Linked DNA regions of Xenopus tropicalis. The protein of the gene in region 1 binds, or shares a complex with, the protein of each later gene. Links are inferred from orthologs where the notes say so. Each region holds a gene or a part of one and is shown on either strand. Other genes may lie near its edges.

The links.
Region 2: apoo (region 1) and micos13 share a complex: the UniProt entries of both Homo sapiens proteins name them as parts of the mitochondrial contact site and cristae organizing system (MICOS) complex. The link is inferred for Xenopus tropicalis from reciprocal best matches to the Homo sapiens genes APOO and MICOS13.

Annotation. Positions count from the first base shown.
Region 1 is NC_030678.2:43,126,116-43,129,944, forward strand, and holds part of apoo (MICOS complex subunit MIC26), read right to left. Parts: intron 3,127-3,829; coding exon 3,072-3,126; intron 2,897-3,071; coding exon 2,801-2,896; intron 1,461-2,800; coding exon 1,369-1,460; intron 1-1,368. UniProt on the Homo sapiens protein: Component of the MICOS complex, a large protein complex of the mitochondrial inner membrane that plays crucial roles in the maintenance of crista junctions, inner membrane architecture, and formation of contact sites to the outer membrane.
Region 2 is NC_030677.2:114,330,508-114,334,789, reverse strand, and holds the start of micos13 (MICOS complex subunit MIC13), read left to right. Parts: upstream 1-1,409; 5' UTR 1,410-1,492; coding exon 1,493-1,521; intron 1,522-1,716; coding exon 1,717-1,873; intron 1,874-4,282. UniProt on the Homo sapiens protein: Component of the MICOS complex, a large protein complex of the mitochondrial inner membrane that plays crucial roles in the maintenance of crista junctions, inner membrane architecture, and formation of contact sites to the outer membrane.

The DNA.
Region 1 (3,829 bases):
AATCACCGGTATTGTACCCGTATAAATGAGCTTACACAAACAAGGTACGTGACACTAATACCTGCTAAGGATTTAGCTGCTCACATATCATTTCGATAAGAAATGGTACATGCAAGTCCATCAAGTTCAACCCTTACAAGTAAACCCATATTAAATGTAAATGAAAACACAAACAACTTAGAATGAAAAACATTCACCTCCCTGAAGGCAAGAATGCAGGGAGAGGCTTTTTCTGTGCTGTTTTTCCCCTTCTAAAAGCCTGTTGTGTTTATGAGGTATTTGACCACTCTTGTTCCCTGCCTTAAGGGTTCCTTCAAATAAACAAGACATTACACGTGTTACTGTAAGCGCATTCTGTATGTTGTATTTCAATTGTGAATTGAAAACACACTTAATGACAATCCAGGGTACATGACAAGCTATCTATCAAGAGAGTACATCAACTCCCTTACGTTCTAAATATATCTGGTTATCGTCCAGGAACCAATTACTGTAAATATCAGCAACAATTCTGCTTGGCTGCTACAAACACCTCTTGTGACATACTAAAATGTCCCTGTTGCTATGGCTGAGGATTTACTCATTATGTAACACCTTACAGCCAACAGAAAAAGAAAGTGCTAATTATTTTGCTATGGAAACAATTTTTTTTTAAATACACAGCAGCAAATATTGTTTAATAATACTGCATTGTGTTGCATGTAACTCAGTCTGTCACGTACCTTTCCAGTAACTAAACAGTATTTCAGAAGATATACAAATGAACTACAACATACAGAAGAGAGGGGATTGATTAATGCACATTGCTAGTAATTTTTTCATTGAAAGTATATCTATATTTCAAAACCAGTAAGTTACAAAGTTATGATCATAAAAGTGTTAAAACAATCTGTAGATTCTGGTAAGTGCAAGCGGGGCTGCTGTAAGATGCCATATAGAAAGTCACTATTCATTGGGCTGGTGGGTACTTGGAATGCCAGGGCTTATCTCAGTCTGGACCTGGTCCTGACTATTTACCTCTGGCAATACTTTTCACAGAATAGCACCTCTCTGAATTGTTGCATTTCTTGTGAATATTTTCTCCTGACCAAAACACTGGTCTCAGTCAAAGACTTCATCCTAACCCCACCAGCTTTCTTAGGGTAGAGAGACTGCTTTGGTCTCACAGGCTTAATCCTCCCCCATTTGTGGCTTTTATAGCTAAGAGATGACACTAGACAACCTATCTTTAAAGGCATAAGACCACCATTAAAAGGGACAGGTGTGTGGGTGCTGCAACAATGACTTCACTAATATACATTATAGTTTCACTTTTAGTCAGACTGTTCATTCATTTTTACTGTATGACACAGTGATACACTGCATTACCTTTGCAATAGTAACAGCTTGCTGGGGATAATAAAGCGAGGCTCCAAGACCCATAAAACCAAGTGGATATATCACTTTTTTTACTCTTGAACCTGTTAGCAATTAAAAAAAGCACAATTTCAGTAAACAGTATTAACAAGGCTCATACTAATGCATAGCATACATTGGTCTTTCCCTGTTGTACAACAATAGCTTACAGCAATAGTGTAACTACAAGTTACTGGATCAACAGCAAGTTTTAGGTCTCTACTCCCATAATTTTTGTTTTCATAAACATACTGTATATAGATATATATGTGTTTTAGTCAGTCTCCCACTGGGTACTGCAGTTTTTTTTCTCAGTGTGACAGTTAATAGGGTGGTCCCCCAAATACTCAGCGCTTCTTGGTGGAGTTCTTTGAAACCAAATCTTCAATATAGTAGAAACTGTGTGATCGCGTGCTGCCTCCTCATAAGAACAACCCTCCCTTTTTAGATGGGTCTCAGATGTGTGTAATCGTGTTGATGGAAGCGCATGGAATTAGAGAAAAACAAAAGCAAAACTAGTGCAATACGTACAAAACTTTCTTTGTGACTAAAACGCTAAAAGATTTTTAGCGTTCTAATTTGGTGCAAAGTGTGCAAATATATTAGGTGAATCGAACAATCAAAAGTGCTTATACATCAGCCCAATGCAGTGTATCACACCCACACGATGTGTCCAAAGTAAATGCTCTCCTTAGTCCTCAGAGTATATGGAATGAAGAGGAATCGAAAATAGTATAAAATCTTTAATATGTAAAATAAAGCCCCTGCACAATGCAGGCTACTTACAGTGTGAAGCAGTATATCAGACACAACAAAATGCCCTGTAAGTAGCCTGCATTGTGCAGGGGCTTTATTTTACATATTAAAGATTTTATACTATTTTCGATTCCTCTTCATTCTAAGGACTAAGGATACACTGCAATCAATAGCCGAATTGATTTCTCTACATGCTCTTATTTCAATCAAATCTGGTGAGCATTTACTTTGGACACATCGTGTGGGTGTGATACACTGCATTGGGCTGATGTATAAGCACTTTTGATTGTTCGATTCACCTTATATATTTGCACACTTTGCACCAAATTAGAACGCTAAAAATCTTTTAGCGTTTTAGTCACAAAGAAAGTTTTGTACGTATTGCACTAGTTTTTTTTTCTCAGGCTGGTGTGGGGCACCAGCCCTGGGAAAAAAATGTAGCAATCTATTTCACGTGGAGGGGGGGGGGGGGTTAGTTTTGTAATGTATTTTGCAATTTGTATATCAGTGAAACCACAATTTACATACCCTGATTTCAAGTTTTCCCTCATTTTACACATTTTTTGTGATCCCACCAATATATTTGATTTAATCACAGGACACATATCGTTCCTGTATTAAAACACCAGGCAGTTTGTGTCATACCGACCTCTAGCGAGGAACAGGCCAACAATTCCAGCAAATCCAATCAAGCCCAGCCTTGGGTAGAAACCTGGAGGTGCATCTTTTAGAAATTCATATGTCCCTACAAACAGTGCAATACAACAGTTCAGCAATTTATCACATGTTGTACAAAACACAGTTCTGAGATAAAGCAGGGACAGAACAAGCTATCAACAAAATTCAGACAGGCAACCCAAACAATCTAAAATATATCATAATCCCCCAATGACTCTTAAGACACAGTCTTATGTGATTACCTTTTGAATGTTCTACAGCAGTCTCAAATTTGGGTTTGGCTTTGATGTAGGCATCCTAAAGATACATAAAATGAGAGAAAAGTTACTTGTGTTATATGGAGTGCAGAATGCATGATTTGTATTTATACGTAGCAGTACAACACAGGTATTTTTTTTATAATATAATCTATACATACACTTGCAGCTAAGAACTTATATTATAAAGGCTCAAATGAACTGTTGGGTTCAGTAAACACTATTTTACACTATGTTTCAAGGTTTTACAATGCCTGTTTTTCTTCCCTTTTTAGATTTTTAGTTTACAGAACTAAAACCTAAAAATAAATGCTAGTTCAGACCCAGAGGTTCATGCAGAGCATGAAGCAGAAAAGAATATATGGAGTTAGTGAGGCATTTTTAAGAGGCACAGGTCTTTAATGATAAATAGCTGTAGTCTCCTTGGGCTGATACAGAAGCCCAAAACATAATGTGTAGTATTTCCAGACTACTTTTTGGTTAAGCTTTAGTTTTTCTTAAAGTTGATATTCTCCAGCTTTGTTGCTCCAGCTGCTTTATCGGACAATATTGTACAATGTTTTCCAGATCAGATAAAGTCAGATGGTGTGTTTTGTTCATGCATCTACATCCAACAGTTGTATTTCAATAAGATAAAAAAATATTTCAGGCACAATCAGATTTGATCTAGTCCAATGAAGATGCAGTTGTGTAGGATATCAATCCTTTGGTGTAGTTTAAACATCAGATTTTTGTATCAGTCC
Region 2 (4,282 bases), on another chromosome or scaffold:
TTTCCGGGCTGATAAAATACAGGCCAGGTGGCCTGGCAGTTTAGTAACTGACCAAGTTGTCAGGTTCCCTATTCTTAAAAAAGGAAAGGTACCACATATTCTGTGAGTTTGGTCCCCACTAGCTAGAAGAGTTGGTTTGTTAAAGGGCCTATGGTTGAGGTAAAACTCAGTAGGTAAAGCACTAGAAGGTTTTGTAGTAGTTTGCTTTAGGAGTGAAAGCCAGGATCAGGGTAGTTAGTAGAGTAGTCAGAGACTCTAACAAAGAAACCAAGGAAGGTTAGTACCCTGCAAAGTCACCTGCCAGTATAGGGACTCAAGCGCTAGGGTCAGGAATAGGAGATTTCAAGGGACTACTGTAAGCATCCACTAGTGCTGGGGACTACCTCTGGGGTGTTGTAAACATTACGCTTGTGATTAGAAAAGAATACCATCCAAAGAATTAAAGTATTTGAGCATTTATGAGACAACTGATGTTTGCACCATCTTATCCTCCAATACCAATAACCAATGCCAATAACAAATCATCACATTGGGCGTATTAAAAGGATTAAATGGGTATGGCTAATTTTATGCTGCCACCTTTCTGGTTTCTACCTGCTTTTTACCAGGACAGCCCAGTTTTCAAAAGGGCTGTCTGGGTCAAACCTGCATGGCCAGTTTTCCAAACAAGAAAAATAAGCAGGATTCTCCTACACTGATGCAGAACTTTTCCAGATTGCTGTAGCAATGTGCCAAATGATACCCACCCCACCCTGTCTGGCTTTCAGAATGGGAAAAGGTGGCATCCATATTTGTACAGTAGTGCTACCGTATTTGGTTTCTTGATTCTTGAGCTGGTGTTGATTTTCTAAACCAGATTATTTGGTTGGTCAGAAACCAACATCAGCAATGGTATAGGGGGTCATTGGTCAATCCAAACAGGACTGGGCTGTACTCTGCTGTGGTGTCTTTTCTTCTGCCCTCTTGTTTGCTCTCCCATTTTAGCTTTTTACTTTGGGATTTGGTCGAATCCCAGTCTGACACATTGCATACAAAATGGGAAGTATTCTAGTGTACAGCTAGTTGTACTAAATGCCAAAATTTAACTGGTGATCAAAATTTTATTTCTAGGTTTTCTTTATCCTGTGGCACCTTATACAATGTCAATACACAACTGCTTAACCAAAAACCATATTATCACTACGCTTTATGTATGCTAAAAAATGTAAACTTTGAATAGTAGTTCTTTTGTTCATATGTTTTATATTTATGTGAACAGCTATAGTTAAAATTGTATCATATATAGCAACAATACAGGCTATGGAACAATGTCACCATTTATATAGTTAACGAGGGTCATTCAAACTAAACGCTTGTTATCTCAAGCAAGCGTTTAGAAAAAACCCATATATTTTCTCTACACTACAATTACCGAGATGCTTTGCGAACTGTCCGTCTCATGTGATCGGAAGTAGAGAGGCTGGATGCGCGGCGTGTCCTTGGAGGGGGAAAAATGGCTTCCGCAGCATTGAGGATACTCAAGTGAGTTTGTGTCAAGCGCTGCTGCTTTTAACTTACTGACAGAAAATGTCCGTATTCAAGAATTCTTGCTGGGCTGTATTGTCGGATATAGTTAGCTTCAAGCTTTACGAATACCACGCCCTAAGGCTTTCTGCTTCATATGGAGAATGAGTCTGTGCGAAATAAATGGTTTTAGCAAATTCCTACTCATTTTAGGTTTGCCACCAAAGCAGGCCTGGCTGGGGGAGCTGTGTATGTGGCGTATGACCAGGGGCTGCTGGGCAGTGGCACCCAAGGAGAGGAGGTGCTGAAGAAGACCACAGCTGCCATACCGCCTGCCATTCAAGAATGGGCTAATTACTTCGGCTGGCAGGTAAACTAATTAAAGAGGTGTAAGTGTGTGTGTCTATATATCCATATCATATATATAATAGAAAGAGTGCCGCACTCACAGGGACTTGATACAAAAGAAAGTGTTTTTATTGAAAAAATTCCAACATTTCGAGCACAACCAGTGCTCTTCCTCAGGTCCACAAGTCCCTGTGTGTGCGGCACTCTTTCTATTATATTTTTGTTTTTGACCTGCACCAAAGGCATTTGGACTTGTATAGGGTGTGCTCCTCCCTGTGTACCATATCACACACACACACACATATATATATATATATATATATATATATATATATATATATATATATATATATATATATATATTTTTCCTTATTGGATGCAAAACAATCCTATTGGGTTTATTTAATGTTTTATTGATTTTTTTAGTAGACTTAAGGTATGGAGATCCAAATTACGGAAAGACCCCTTATCTGGAATACCCTTGATCCCAAGCATTCTGGATAATGGTTCCTATACCTGTATAAGGAACAGCGTAACTTATTTTGGCACAATCCCTCCTGTACAGGTTAGTACAGTGCTATACAGCCACAGTTCCATCAGTACATTACAGAGCATGTGTAAATGTTTTTATAGCATGTTTTAATTAAACTGCCTGAGGTGATGTGGCTGCTCTAAATTTAAGCAATGTAGATTATGCATTGCTCGCGTTAAACAGTCAAACATGGAGGTTTACTACCTCTTTAAGCATTTTAGACCAATGTAGATTATGTTTGTAGCATGCACAAGGCCTTAAACTAGTACATTATTGTATACTTTGTAGTGCCAACATATTCTAAAGCTCTTTACTGGGACTGAATTATACAGTATATAAAATGATAACAATAACATGTAAGAATGAAGAGAGGTCCCTATTCACTAGAGCTTACAATAAGGAAATGCATTGACTAAAGGTCCCCATACACAGTAAGATCCGCTTGCTTGGCAAGATCGCCAAGCGAGCAGATCTTCCCCCGATATCCCCACCTACGGGTGGGCGATATTGGGGAGCTTGAACGACCGGATTATGTAGGCGGCAATGGGGCAGTCGGTTCGGGGACCGCATCAACGAGCCGATGCGGTCCCCGATCCGACTGGATTTTCTAACCTGCCCGATCGATATCTGTCCAATTTCAGGCCAGATATCGGTCGGCCAGCCCGCTTGTTTCTGCCCCTACATGGGCCCTTGTATGGGGGCCTTAAGGCTAAATGCTTGCTTGGGCAATGTAATATGAAATGTATCTTAAATAAGCTTTTGCAAGTTTTCTTATTGCCCTGTGGATCAACCAGTTTCCCCAAAGACATGCACCTTCATAGAAAGCCTTCATTTGTGAACAGTTAAACATATGATGGAGTAGTGCACTTTGATTTTAAAACAGGCAAAATCCTATTTAAATGTATGTACCACTGTATGTAATTCTTTGTGACAGTGACATACACACAGAGAAATAATGTATTCTTTGTTTTTCTCAATGTCTGTGTGTATTACCCATGGACAATTGTTAAATAGCATTTTTAAGTATATTTGCAGCATGGGAGAGGTCTTGGAGGTGTTACATACGGTTGAAAAAAAGACCAGAGTTCAACCCTTCCAAGTAAACCCAGCACACAAACCTATACTGACCTATCTATGCACTCACATACATAAACTATATATACAGAAATTAATACTAACTGTAGATATTAGTGTAGCCCACCCTAGGGTATGGCTTGGTGTACTGTAGTTGTGACTGTGGTGACACCCCAAAGATTCCCAGTAAATACCAACACAAACAGGAAGTAAACCCAGATTTATTACACAGGAACTGGGCTGAAAATGAGTTAGAAAAATTAAATGCAGATAAATGCAGAAAGTATGAACAGGCAGAAATAGCAATAACAGTGCAATGCAATGTAAACTGCACTAGCAGTTAAGTTCTAACAACAAAGTTTGGGAGCTCCCCTAATGTCCTATAAGCCGGCAGCGTTGGGGCCCTTAAACAACAATTTACATCCAGGATGCTTGTACTTTGTTATTATAGCTTCAGAGGAAACCAGCTTGGCTACATTAGTATCACAATAGCCTTGGATATTCTGCTTGTTCAAGAACTCATCCAAGCCCCTCCATCCAGGCATTAACAGAATCTGCGATTGCAACATCACTAGGAAGGGCATTCCCCAACCTCACTGCCCTCACCATGAAAAACCACCTACGCTGCTTCAAATGGAAGCTCCGTTCCTCTAATCTAAAGGGGTGACCTCTGGTGCGTTGATTGTTTTTATGGGAAAAAAGAACATCCCCCAACTGCCTATATTCCCCTCTAATGTATTTATACAGAGTAATCATGTCCTCTCACAAGCACCGGAAAACATCCCCTTTACCAGTTTAGTTGCAGTCTCTGCACTCTCTCCAGCT